Linked DNA regions of Alligator mississippiensis. The protein of the gene in region 1 interacts with the protein of each later gene in a pairwise test. Links are inferred from orthologs where the notes say so. Each region holds a gene or a part of one and is shown in the gene's direction. Other genes may lie near its edges.

What was found.
Region 2: the proteins of CEP70 (region 1) and NOL12 interact in binary tests that used the Homo sapiens proteins (3 or more experiments, as listed by UniProt). The two-hybrid records come from large-scale screens. The link is inferred for Alligator mississippiensis from reciprocal best matches to the Homo sapiens genes CEP70 and NOL12.
Region 3: the proteins of CEP70 (region 1) and ARHGEF3 interact in binary tests that used the Homo sapiens proteins (3 or more experiments, as listed by UniProt). The link is inferred for Alligator mississippiensis from reciprocal best matches to the Homo sapiens genes CEP70 and ARHGEF3.

The regions. Positions count from the first base shown.
Region 1 is NC_081827.1:243,542,984-243,546,953, reverse strand, and holds the start of CEP70 (centrosomal protein of 70 kDa), read left to right. Parts: upstream 1-1,430; 5' UTR 1,431-1,601; coding exon 1,602-1,707; exon of another isoform or gene 1,708-1,732; intron 1,733-1,773; exon of another isoform or gene 1,774-2,229; coding exon 2,230-2,309; exon of another isoform or gene 2,310-2,330; intron 2,331-3,970. Other genes in the region: FAIM (fas apoptotic inhibitory molecule 1), read right to left, coding at 970-1,256.
Region 2 is NC_081827.1:100,081,330-100,085,299, reverse strand, and holds the start of NOL12 (nucleolar protein 12), read left to right. Parts: upstream 1-1,013; 5' UTR 1,014-1,052; coding exon 1,053-1,123; intron 1,124-2,551; coding exon 2,552-2,657; intron 2,658-3,168; coding exon 3,169-3,217; intron 3,218-3,845; coding exon 3,846-3,970. UniProt on the Homo sapiens protein: Multifunctional RNA binding protein that plays a role in RNA metabolism and DNA maintenance. Participates in the resolution of DNA stress and the maintenance of genome integrity by localizing to sites of DNA insults.
Region 3 is NC_081835.1:21,411,211-21,415,180, forward strand, and holds the start of ARHGEF3 (rho guanine nucleotide exchange factor 3), read left to right. Parts: upstream 1-1,598; 5' UTR 1,599-1,673; coding exon 1,674-1,746; intron 1,747-3,970. UniProt on the Homo sapiens protein: Acts as a guanine nucleotide exchange factor (GEF) for RhoA and RhoB GTPases.

The DNA.
Region 1 (3,970 bases):
ACATGGGAACCACCACACCGTACTTGGCTCCACATGGCCTACCTGTCTCTAAGGCAATGACCAGCTACAAATACTTTGGAGGAAGGTGCACAAACACAACACTACTAAGATGGGGAATAAGTGGCTTCCCACTGAGGTCTCAACCTGGTCTCTAATAGTTATGTTACAGTAGCTCCTAGGAGACCTCGGCAGGGACTCAATCCAATCGGGGAAGGTATTGTGCAAAACAAAACTAAGAAAGTCACCGCTCCAAAATGCTTAGTGTAAGTCTTGCAGTACAAATAATGAATTGTAACAAGTCTTGACAATCCAGTCCGTTTGTAAATCTTGTTCTTCTCTCCATCTTACCCAACAGCTTCCTTGTAACAAATGCCACAATTTAAATAACGTGCGAAACACCTCTTCATACCAGTTTTAAATCTCCCTCTTCAATTTCAGCGCATTTCCCTTTATTTTCGAGTCCAGACAGGGAGAAAGAAGCACAGGCTGCCCTTGTCTCAACCATTAATTATATTCTATACAGGCCGTCCTCGGACTTACAGCACCACTCAATCCTGAAAACCGTGTCTTAAGGTGAAACATTGTAATTCGCAATGCAGTTTCCCATAGGAAACAATGTTATAATTGGGGGATTGGTTTCTGAACCGATACCATCTTCCCACCAAAAATAACTCAGAAATTGTACTCAATCAATTACACATAAGTAATATAGCAACAGTGAAAGGCAATCAAGACTCGTAGTAGAGATGATCTCTTTTATTAGACCAACAAGGTTTTTTGCAAAAAAAGGAAAAGAATTTTTTTGCAAAAATCTTATTGGCCAAATAAACGAGATCACCTCGACTACGAGGCGTGATCGCCTTTTCCTCTAGACCAATACGGCTACAACCTGGATACACAGCTGCATTCGTATCATACATAGCAATCGTAAGGATTTGGAAGGACTTCTTTGAGGCGACTCGGCCGGACCTTTCCAGTCTCCTCACGAGTCTTGGCCGCAGGTTTCCTGGAGTCTCGCCTGCCTTCTTCAAAGCGCCCGAGGACGTTCGGACAGATGCTCTCCAGGCAGACGGGCGACGCCGGCGCGCCGGATCCAGCGTCGCCGAGTCGAAACCGACATCGCCAAGTCGAAACGGGGGGTGCTGGTTGATAACCGTCATCCGCACCCTTCGTCGCCACGTCCGCCTGCCTCCGAGTCCAGTCCGTCTTATTCGTCTCCCATTCCCGGGACACCAGCCTGACCTTTCCCTACCCATAGGCCACTAACGCCTGACGGGCCCCCCCCTGCAGCCCGGGGGGGCACCGCAACCGCAACCTGCCCGCTGTCTGCACTGAAACCAGCGCTGTGGGGGGCAGGAGGAATTTTTATACGCCTGGTTTGACTGGGAATTTTTTTTTGCGGGGGGGGGGGGGAAGAGCCTGCCTTCCTGTGCAGCAACTGGCCTCTCTCTACTCCTACCTCGGCTCCTCCGCTCCCGCAATGGCAGCGCCTGCACCGGCCCGAGCGGGCCCCGCGGCGCCGCCGCCTCCTCCGAGCCGCGGGGCTGCGTGACTGCGCGCGCAGCGCCGGAAGCCGGAAGCCAACTCCTTCGGAGCGGCGGATGAGGGGCTGTGCAGAAAGCTCGCAAGCCGGAAGACGGTTCCTTCCGGGGCGGGGCCACAACAGGAAGTCAGAGGACAGGAAGCCGGAAGCTGGATTCCTTTCGGGTGGGGTTATCGGCGGCGGGTGAGGGTGAGGGGTTTAAGGTCTCCTACTAGACCGGGGTTGAGGCCTTCCCGGTCGGGGCCAGCCCTGGTTTTCCCCCAGGACCTTGGAGGGCCCCCCAGCTGCTGAGCTGCCTCCCCCACCCTCTGGCTGCTCTCTGGTTTCCTCACGGCCCAAAGAAACCCAGCGCCATCAAAGAGGCATTTCCTGGGCATCCTCTGCCGAGCTACCCAGTGCCCCGCTGCAGGGTGGTCCTGAAACGCCCCCCCGTCCCGCCGCTGACCCTTGGGGTCGCGCTAGAAAATCTGTGCAGATATTTGTCATTTAAAAAAAAAAAATCTGGGTCTTCAGGGATATTAAATTCTCGTTGGCAGCCCAACCGCGACCTTCCCGGCATGGACCGCGGCTCTGATAATTTTTTTAGTTGGCCCTTGCAAAATATCGTTCCGCAGCAGATGTCGGTGTCGCTGTCCTGGGCTTGTTTTCGGACTCATTGGTTTTCTCCTTCCTGATTTTTTTTTAAGCAGCGTCACGAAGGAGAGCCGCGGGATGCGACAGCCGGTCCCTGAGCGCCGCGACACGGGAGCTGCTTGTTATGGCTGAGGTAGAGCAATGAAGCTAAGCGGTGTGTTGCGTGTACAGCGTAGTTTCTTATAGTTTTGTCGTTTCTAGGGTCGGACGGGACCTGAACAGATCATCAAGCCCGACCCCCTACCCCGGGCAGGAACGAGTGCCGGGATCGTAGTACCTCAGCCAGATATCTGTCCAAACTCCTCTTGAAAACCCCCAAGCAGATTAAGTGAAGGTTACCTACCGGATGCTTTGTATTAAAAAACATTTCTAATGTTGGTGGCCCACTGTTCGATGTGCAATAATTATTTTGCAAACAAATGAACACCAACAAAAAAAAAGAGATCTTCAAAGAAGCAAGACTCCGCCACGCACACCAGATCATGGTCCCCTACTAGTTGTTCTGCCTTCCCCCAAAAAAGGGTATTCATAGATTTCATTGATTTGAGAGTCAGAAGGGACCTATTAGATCATCGAGTCTGACCCGAATTGAATTACCAACTGCTATGTTTGTAATATAAAAAGGCTAACCATTCTCCAACATAAATTTCCTCTTTATCCACTATGCTCATTCAAATCCTTGATGGGGATCGTAGGCAGACAAGGTTCCTTGGGTGAATTTGATATCTTTTATTAGACCAACCCAAATGGTTGGAGAATAGTTATTAAGTAAGCTTTTGGGTTCAAAACCCCTTCATCAGGCTAAGGAAGCTTCAGCAGTTGGTGTGTGCTCTGATGGGAATCGTGACTTTCAAAAGCATTTCGAGTGTCTAATGACTTTACTTCTGAAAGATCAGACCCTGTATCACTATGTGTAACTGCAAGAAATAAGTACAGGTCAGTCGCATCTTACGCAGGGGTTACGTTAAAGTCGGTGCGTAAGGCGAAAATCGTGTATAGTGAAATCGCATATTACCATGCCAGCAGTGACTGCCTCTGCCTCCAAAACCTCCCGCCGCCGCTGCGGAGCCGTGCTTAGAGCTGTGTGGCTGGCGGCGGCAGTGCAGGGTGGGGATGGCTGCGTGCCGCCCGGGCACCACCATGCTGCTGCTCCCACCCGGCGGCCAGCCACAGCTCCGGGCACACATGCAAACTCGAGCCCTGCCCCCCCTCCCACCCCACGTATAGTTGAATTCGCGCAAGTTAAATGTGTGTATGATGCGACTGACCTGTATGGTGTTTTGATGCATTAGAATTGAATGTAGGTAAATGTTGATCGTAGGAAAGAAGAGGGAAAAAAATAGTACATTGATAGAAATACTCTTCCCCTCTTGCTTTTGTTATGAGGTTACTCATATTTTCAATATTTATTGTTAAATTTAAAGTGCCAGACTTAAACCTATTTTGAATGATAGTTCTGGAAAAATATTCAGAAATAGGGGCAAAAGTTCGGCTCTAAATCCATAGTTAGGTATCTAATAGGATGGCCTGATATTTCTACAGTGTTGAGCAACCATCAATACCCACTCCCACCATCTTAGTTTTGGCCCTTTTATCAAGCGTTCTCTGCAGATTAAATTGTATCAATTTAAAAATTCTAGTGCAGCTCAGTGTAAGGTGGTGTCTATAAACAGTGGGATTTATCATGCAGTTCACATCAGGTGTTTTGGTCTGAATTTTTATGTGATTGGAAATAGAGACGGTTTCCTTTTTGTCTGACTTGATACCTGCAAGGGACCTGATTTTTTAGAGAGG
Region 2 (3,970 bases), about 140 Mb from region 1:
CTGGCCTAGGTGCCCTCCTGAACTCCCTTCCAACCCAACCCTCATTTTCCATGATTCAACCTTCCCAGTAAACAAGGGCATTTGTCTCCAAAAGCTTGCAAAGAACAATTTTTTTTCCACTATTCAGCTGGTCTAATAAAATAAACCACCTTTTCCCGAAGGCAGGCTAGGTTCCTTGGGTCGATGCGATCTCTTTCATTACACCCAAGGAGTTGGAACAAAGTGCTCTGCAAGCTTTCAGGCACAAGCGCCCTTCCTCAGGCATAAAGTGCTAAAACAAAGTTTATTTCCCACCTAGGGGAACTTTTGACCCTCTTTAATTTTCCCAGAGCCTGAGGAAGGAAATGGATCACCAAAATGGATTAACAAAATGCATTTGAGCCTGAAAGCTTGCCAAAAAAAAAAAAAATTCTTTTTCTTTTTTTGCAGTTTCTTGATTGCTCTAATAGAAGGCATCATCTCTGAACCAAAAGGTCTAGGGTTTTGCATTTCCTTTAGTCTCAGGCTGGCACGGCTACCAAATACACCAGTTCTTCAGGCAAAGGGAGACTCCCATTTACCCAAAGAACCTTGTTTTGGGTTTTTTGGGGGGGTTTGTTTTGCAAATACATATACATATATACAAAACAAAAAAACAAAAACCAAAACAAGGTTCATATATATGTAAACTCTACCTCCAACACTCCACCAAGTAGCTGTGGTGGTTCACTTGGCAGATCAAAGCAGACAGTTATTAAAAAACCCCTGTCTGAGCATACCAGTAGCTTCTGGTTTCTGAACGGAAGAAAAGCGGTGCCGTGCTAGCTGTGAGGATGCTCCCCCCATGCCCTCAGCGCCCCCCGAGGAAAGCAGAGCCAGAGCACAGCAGCGAACATCCCTCCACCCAACCCGGGCACGCGTGCTGGAACAAACTCCGCCTACTCCCGCCTCGGACCCGGGCGGGGCGGGGCCCTCTAGCTGCTGCTGCTGCAGCAGCAGCAGGGGGGAGGGGTGAGGCGGGGTCACGTGGTTCGGGGCGGGACGACGCAGGCGCAGCGCGGGCGCGGGCCGGCATGGGGCGCAGGAGGCCTGTTGGGCGTGGGGAGCCGCGGCGGGCTGTGGTCTTCGATGAGGAGCAGCGGCGGTGAGCACCTTCTGCCGCACCCACGAGGCAGGCAGTCCCCTGCCTCGCCCTGGGGACACTTCATAGGAGCTTGAGCAGAGGGGGTCTGCGCGGGGCGGCCTGGTCCCCACCCCATGGAGAGCTTCGGGCCGTGCTGAGCTGGGCCCCTGCCTCCTGCGGGTGCTGGAAGGGGCAAGGCACCCGGTGATTCTCAGCCGGGGTTCCCGTCAGGTCCCTGTAAGGCAGCCCTGCTCTCCGAGCACACCTCTGCACCGTGTGGGAGAAAAACCCTGGTGCTTCCAAGAGGAACCCACAAGGCCGGTGGTGTTCCGAGCCCGGCTCTCTGCTGCCGGAAAACTGCTCCCTTCTCTCCTCCTAGTCGAGAAGTGAGCAGAAGCTCAGTGCTGGTGTTTTTTCTGCGGGTATCTGGAGTCTGTTGGAGGGTACCCTGCATCTGTGATGATGGGGAACTGCTGGCCTAACTTGCACCGTGCCTGTTTTTTTTTCACTCAGCACGGAGCCTCACGGTGCTGGGGAAGCTGACAGCTTAGCCAGAGTCTGAAAGGAGTGGGTGGGCCCAAGTCTTGGAGAGAAGGGGCATCAGGAGTGGTTGAGCGCGGGAGTGAGGGGCATGGGTTCTGAATTGGAACTTCCTCCACCTTAAATGCCAGCATTGAGGTTGCAAGTGAGAGAGGAACCGGCGGGTGGGGGGTGGTAAACCCTGGTCATACCCAGTTCACTCTCCTGTTCAGCACCTGATCTCTGCCTGGTGACAAGCCTTTTGATATGCCTAGTGGATCATGGGCTTGGGCCTATCAAGGAGCAACTATAAGCCTCCCTTAGTAGGGAGGCCACTGGGGACATACCAGCTGATTTTTGAGGGATAGCTAAAGAGAAAACAGGGACAGGAGTGAGGTCAAAGTTTTAAAACAAGTGCAGAGTACACCAGACGATGCTCACTAGCCCCCAAATGCATCCAAGGAGCCAGTGGACACTGCCCAGTAAAACTCTGCCTGGAGATGAGAGCGAACCAGAGACAAGAAAATGGCCCTGCAGTCCCTTGGGTCCTCCCAGCAAGAGTCTCCTGCCTGGCTAGGTAGACAGCTAGCTTGGCTAAGCTAGGAGGAGGTTGACTAGGAGGTCCCTGGACTTAGTGGGGTTATGGATGGGGAGTGCATAAACAAAAAGGTATGGGTAGTAGTGGAGCCAAAACCTCAGCAAGAGGTTGCGGAGGAAGTGGTGGATGGGCTGCAGCCTGGCACACTCGAGGTAGGCATGCAGCTGGGTCTCCTTTTGCTTGTACAAGGGGCAGGTGTCGGGGGAGTCTGTGAAGCATGCCAGGTACGCACCCATGGCAGTGGCTCTATGGAGAATACTGGGCGAAATGGACTTGTGGTCTGACCCAGTATATGGCAATTCTTATGTGCTTATGTTGTTTTTATGTTGCAGAGAGTACCTGACTGGATTCCACAAGCGGAAAGTAGAGCGAAGGAAAGCAGCTGTGGAGGAAATCAAACGTAAACTGAAAGAAGAGCAAAGGAAGATGAAAGAGGAGGTATTGTTTCTCCATGGGCTTGTGTGGCTAGCTGGTTAGAAGTGGTGATTCAAGGTTTTATGGTCAGGGTTGCATAGTATGTCTGGGGGACCCCATCTGGAATTGCAAGGGGGATGCAGGCACAGGTAAAATGTATTTGTTAAAAGGATGCCAGAGAGGAACAAGGCAGGAATGGAGTTAGCCAGAGGTTTTGCAGGAGAAGGGTTGTGTGGTTCAGCAGGGCTGCGTGGTGGTTCCAGGACCACAAGGACAGGCAGAGGGTGTTGGGAGGGCAGACATGAGGTACACAGACAGGGGTGTTAATGGAAGGAGTTTAGGCAGCACCTTTTCTGGAAGCTGTAGCCCATACTGTCAGTATAAGAATTCTCAACTCCTTAAACTGTTTTGCAGCTTCCTCTAGCCCTCTTGTAGAGGGTGGGGTGTACCCATGTGCTGTGGGCTTTAAGAGTAGGGGGCATAGATGGCAGCTAGTAAAATAGAAGTACTGCAATGATTTTTGCTTCCTTTTTAGCGGCACAAGGAGTACCTGAAAATGCTGACAGAGAGAGAAGAGGCTCTTGGTGAGTGTTTCCTCCCATGGTTGATGTTGTTTGCTAGACGTGAAATGGTAGTCTGAGGTTTGCAAGAAATTGGCTAGGGTGCTGAACCTAGAAGGAGAGGTTGTAATTTGAGGCTCAATCTGATGCTTTAGGGTTTTATTTTCTGTTTTGCCATGGGGATATGTATCCATTCTTCTAGTCCCTGGGAATGGTGGGAGTTGGGAGTACAGCAGAGACTCAGCAGTAATGGCATCTTATTACTCCTGTGTCTCACTGAGAAGCAGTGGTGAGGTGCTTTGAAGAACAACCCCTCATTCACTGGCTGGAAGGAGGGTGGCTGCATATTGTAGAAGTGACAGGCATATTGTATGTAAAGGAATAACTTAGAGAAAATCCTTAAGGTCCTGTTGGCGTGTAACTCCATTTGTGAAGAGAGACTATGTTTGCTTGTAGTGAACTGTTACCTGCCTCTATTACTTCAGACTTGCAGCCTTTCAACTCTCAGTGGCCAACTTACAAGATTTGGGGTCTCCACCCCTCAGAGCTTAGTAAACGGAGTTAGAGTGTTTTAGCTTGAGATGCCCAGCTGGTCTGTGTAAGACTGTACATGCCTCTCCTGCATGGACAATAGAGTATCTCCTCTCTGTAGATGAGGCTGATGAGCTGGAGCATTTGGTGACATCCCAGACAGAGTCTGTGAATATTGATCACCCAAACCACACGGTAACAGTGACCACCATCAGTGACCTGGACCTCTCGGGAGCACGCCAACTA
Region 3 (3,970 bases), on another chromosome or scaffold:
GTTGGAGGAGGGGAAGAAACATCGCGAGACCTGCGTTTCAGAGCTTAGGTGGTGTTCACAGCCCTGGCTGCTATGTGGTTGGTGAGGTGGGGAAGGGACAATGCAGCTTGGGATGCCAGAAAACAGCAGAGACCCATCACATGCCACGCATTCAAATTAAAACCAGATGGACACCAGCTACAAAAAGTTCTACACTTCCAATCAACATCTTTGTGGCTGATTGGCCATTTTTGTTGTGTGCTAATTACTTTGCATGTACAGCACATCTACATTTATCACACAGTTAATGCCACCTTGTATAGCAAGTTGCTCCTTTTGACATTTTTTAGCATGTTGTTTCTTTACATTTCTAAAGTTTCCTTTACTACTTCACTAACATTATTTTAAGATGGCATTAACCTTTCAAATGTCAGATGGAAAAAAAATCGAAATTATTCAATCTGGCAGATGGAACATAGGCCTGTTTCTGCAGTACTACAGTCCAGCATTCGCTTCATTGGTGAGGGTCATTTGGTGCGTTTTGCTCAGTGTTTCTCAACCTTTTAAGTAGCAAGTGCCCCCTAACTTATGAAAATGTTAATAAGTACCCCAACACTCAATTTTCCAGGGGATATTATATTTGCAGACTGTGTGCCATATTTTGGAAGAACAGCTGTATATATAAGGGCATGACATGACAGATGTCTGATCTGGTGTGGGTAGGATTGCCACCTTTTGCACCAGGGGTGCACAACTCGAGTATGTACCTGAGCTAGAGGTGATGTTGGTTAAAGCTAGGAGGGCTGAGCCCAGTGCTGCACAAAGCACAGTACACCACATTATTACTGGGGAATTTAAAGCGCTGCACAATGCACTGTGTACCAACTTTTTTGCCAGTTTTGAGAGGAGGAAGGGGCAAAAGAGAGTTTTGGGGTTACTGTGTACCCCCTGTCTGTGTCTTTAGGTATAACAACACAAATAACAACCTGGATCAGGGCGCTACTCTGTTGGTTCCTGGTCAGCGCCTACCAAACAATCAGTCCTTTCCCCAGTCTATGGTACTTCCACTCATCTTTGTCGCACGTTGTTTCCTAGTAATTCCCCTAATTTCCCTTGACCAAAAAGGATTCTTGCAGTGCATTTGCTGCTAGTTCAAGCTCCTTTCTCCACAACCCAATGCTTGGTATCATCTCTGCATTTATTTTTTTCAGTGCTGCCTTTTGATGGAAACATAAATGATTAAAGGCAGCCGAATCTCACCCTTGCCTGCAGTCCCCTTCATTTTAATTCATGGGTTTTTTTCGGGGGGGGGAGGTTAAGTCTCCATTTTTTTTGAACGTTTCAACTCTCGATTTGACTGCTTCCCCTTCGCCCGGCAGTCACGGGACTTCCCTCGTCCCGTGCATTTTGCCTTTTTTTTGTTTTCCCCCTTGACGCCTGTGGCCAGTTACTCGCCTGAGAGGGAGAGCGGCCGGCGGCTCGGGCAGGGGCGTCCTCCTGCCCCCTGCACTGGCCCGCGCTCTCCGTGGCTGGGCAGGGGTCGCGGGAGGCCCGGCTCGGGCTGGTGCTGCGAGAGGAGAGGCCGGGCCGGGCCGTCGCTGGAGCGGCGAGGGGCGGCGCGGCGCGGCGGCTCGGCCCCGCGCCGGGGAAGCCCGCGCCGCCGAGGAAACTCCCCGCGCCGGGAGAGGCGGGGAATGAGGAAGGGAGAGCGAGAGAGCGCGGGCGGGAGCCGGAGCCGGAGCCGGAGCGGAGTCGCCGGCCGGGGCGGTGAGTGGCCGCGGGGGGCCGGCGGGTGCGTGACCCGGGAGGGCGCGGGGAGCCCTCGCGGGACGGGCTGGGGCTGAGCGCGGCTTGCGGAGGGGGCAGCTCTGAGCCGCCTCGTCCCCCAGAGAGGCTGCCCTGCCCCAGTGCCTCGCATCTAAGACGAGCCGCAGTGGGATTGGGGGGGCGGTTCCCACTCCCGCCCTGAGCCTGGGTCAGACCCACAGCAGCCGCTTGCCCCCCTGGTCCCCTCTGCCCCGCCGGCGGCAGGGGCTGCGCGCGGGGGAGCGGCCTCAGCAGCCTTGACCGTGAGGGGGGCAGGAAGGGGGCAGAGGCCAAGGGGGGGCGGCCTGCCCGATGACCTCCCCTCTCCCAGCTACCTGATCCTCCCCTCTCCCAGCCGCTGCTTTCCCTTCTGTACCAGTTGGGAGGATGAATTGAAGATGACCCTCCGATAACAAAACAATTATGACAAACTCATACATTTTCTATCTATAGAGTCTAATGGAGTGGGAGGAGGGGTAAGTTAAATGCAGGGCTGTCTCAGAGTCGAGTAAATACAGTATATTTCTCCAGGTAGAAACTACCATGCTCGGGGCCTAGGGCTGGACTATTCTGTTTAAGGTGAAAGGAAAAACAGATATAATTTCTATTGGAATGAGGTAAAGACAACCTGGGAGGCTGTGAAGTAGGAGCATCGGGACCAGGAGCAGCTGACAGTCGCAGTGCAGAACAAAGGCTGGCTGGCGGCTGGGACAGAGAAACCATTCAGAAGCAGAGAGGGTCGGTAACACCTGTGGAGTGAAATGTTTAGAAGGGATCAGGTAGATTATAATGAGCCATAAAGTCAATTGACTTCCTCAGTGCTGCTTGACCAGAAATGTTGCTGCTGCTGGAATCAGAGTGGGGTGCAACATGGATCTGCCCCCATGGTACAGAATTTGGTTCCTTAGGACCTGAATGCTGAGGATGAGCACAGATGCCATGCCTGGGTCTCCCCCACTGCAGTTGGATACAAAATCACAGTCTAAATTAGCATAGCTCTAGCCACTAAATCAGGCTGATATCAACACTTTCTGCTATCCAGCTATGAGATAAATTGTAATATGAAACAACTGGAAGTAACATGCACATAGGAGACTGTGGTGGGTGGAAATGGGTGGGTCAGGTGTGATAGTCTGCAGTGATTTGCCATAGCGTGTGAAAATGTAGAGAAAACTTGAGAGAAGTTTTGTAATTTGAAGGGAAGACCCGACCGCATAGGCAGCTATATAAAAAACATATCTTCCCTTTTTTTTTTTAATTTTTTTTTTTTAGTTTGTTACTTTGGTGCTTACTGTGCCTGTAATTTTACATAGGAAAATCTCTCTCTGTTTCTGAGAGGAGTTTAAAAGCAACAATACAGCAAGGCCCTGTGATGTGCCAAGGTAACATGTGTACTGTAATCTTTTGGCCTCCCTTCCCACACGCACTCAGACCTCAGTTCCGTTTTTGGAGTCTGCAGTTCACTCTGAGATTTGGTTTTGTGCTGGTCGGTCTGGCTGGATTCCAAGCTGGAAGCTTTAGCTTGTGCGTAAAACCTGGAGGGGTTTGCTCTGAAGATTGTTCCCCCGGCCCTGCTTTTAAGCAAGTAAGCTATGAAAACACAGGGCTCATAGTTACGATCTGTTTGTTTGTGCCATTTGTGATTTGAAGTCAGTGGCAGCTTCAGATGCCTAAATATGGAGATAACAACTAACCCTAGGCCTCCAGGTTTTTATTCGTAGGTATTTTTGATTGTAATGCACTCAGCCCGCACACCTGGGCTTGAACCTTGGAGTCTGCACTTGAACTTTAAAGTTCTGTCTATTCTCTTTATTTCTGATAGTTAATTTATTTGGCAGCTGACTAATAAATGAAGGTAACAATATACTTCAAGTGTATTCTGTATCTGCTTTTCTGGGGTTGCAATCTTTATGAATGTATCTAATCTGAAGCAATTTTTAATTCAACATGAGAAGAATTCTGGAGTTTTAGCATGTTCTTTGGAAGGCATTATTAATATTGAGGTTAATTTATTTGCTGTGAGTTGCTTCTTCCATTGCTGGGTGGCATTGGTGTCTGTACTTCAAAGTTACCGCTTGCTGCAATTGAGTACTGTATTGGCTGATGTGTGTTTTATACGTGTGTGGTATCTGATGTAACATTAAACCCTTAAAAATCTAAATTTAAGACACTGAATTCAAATTAA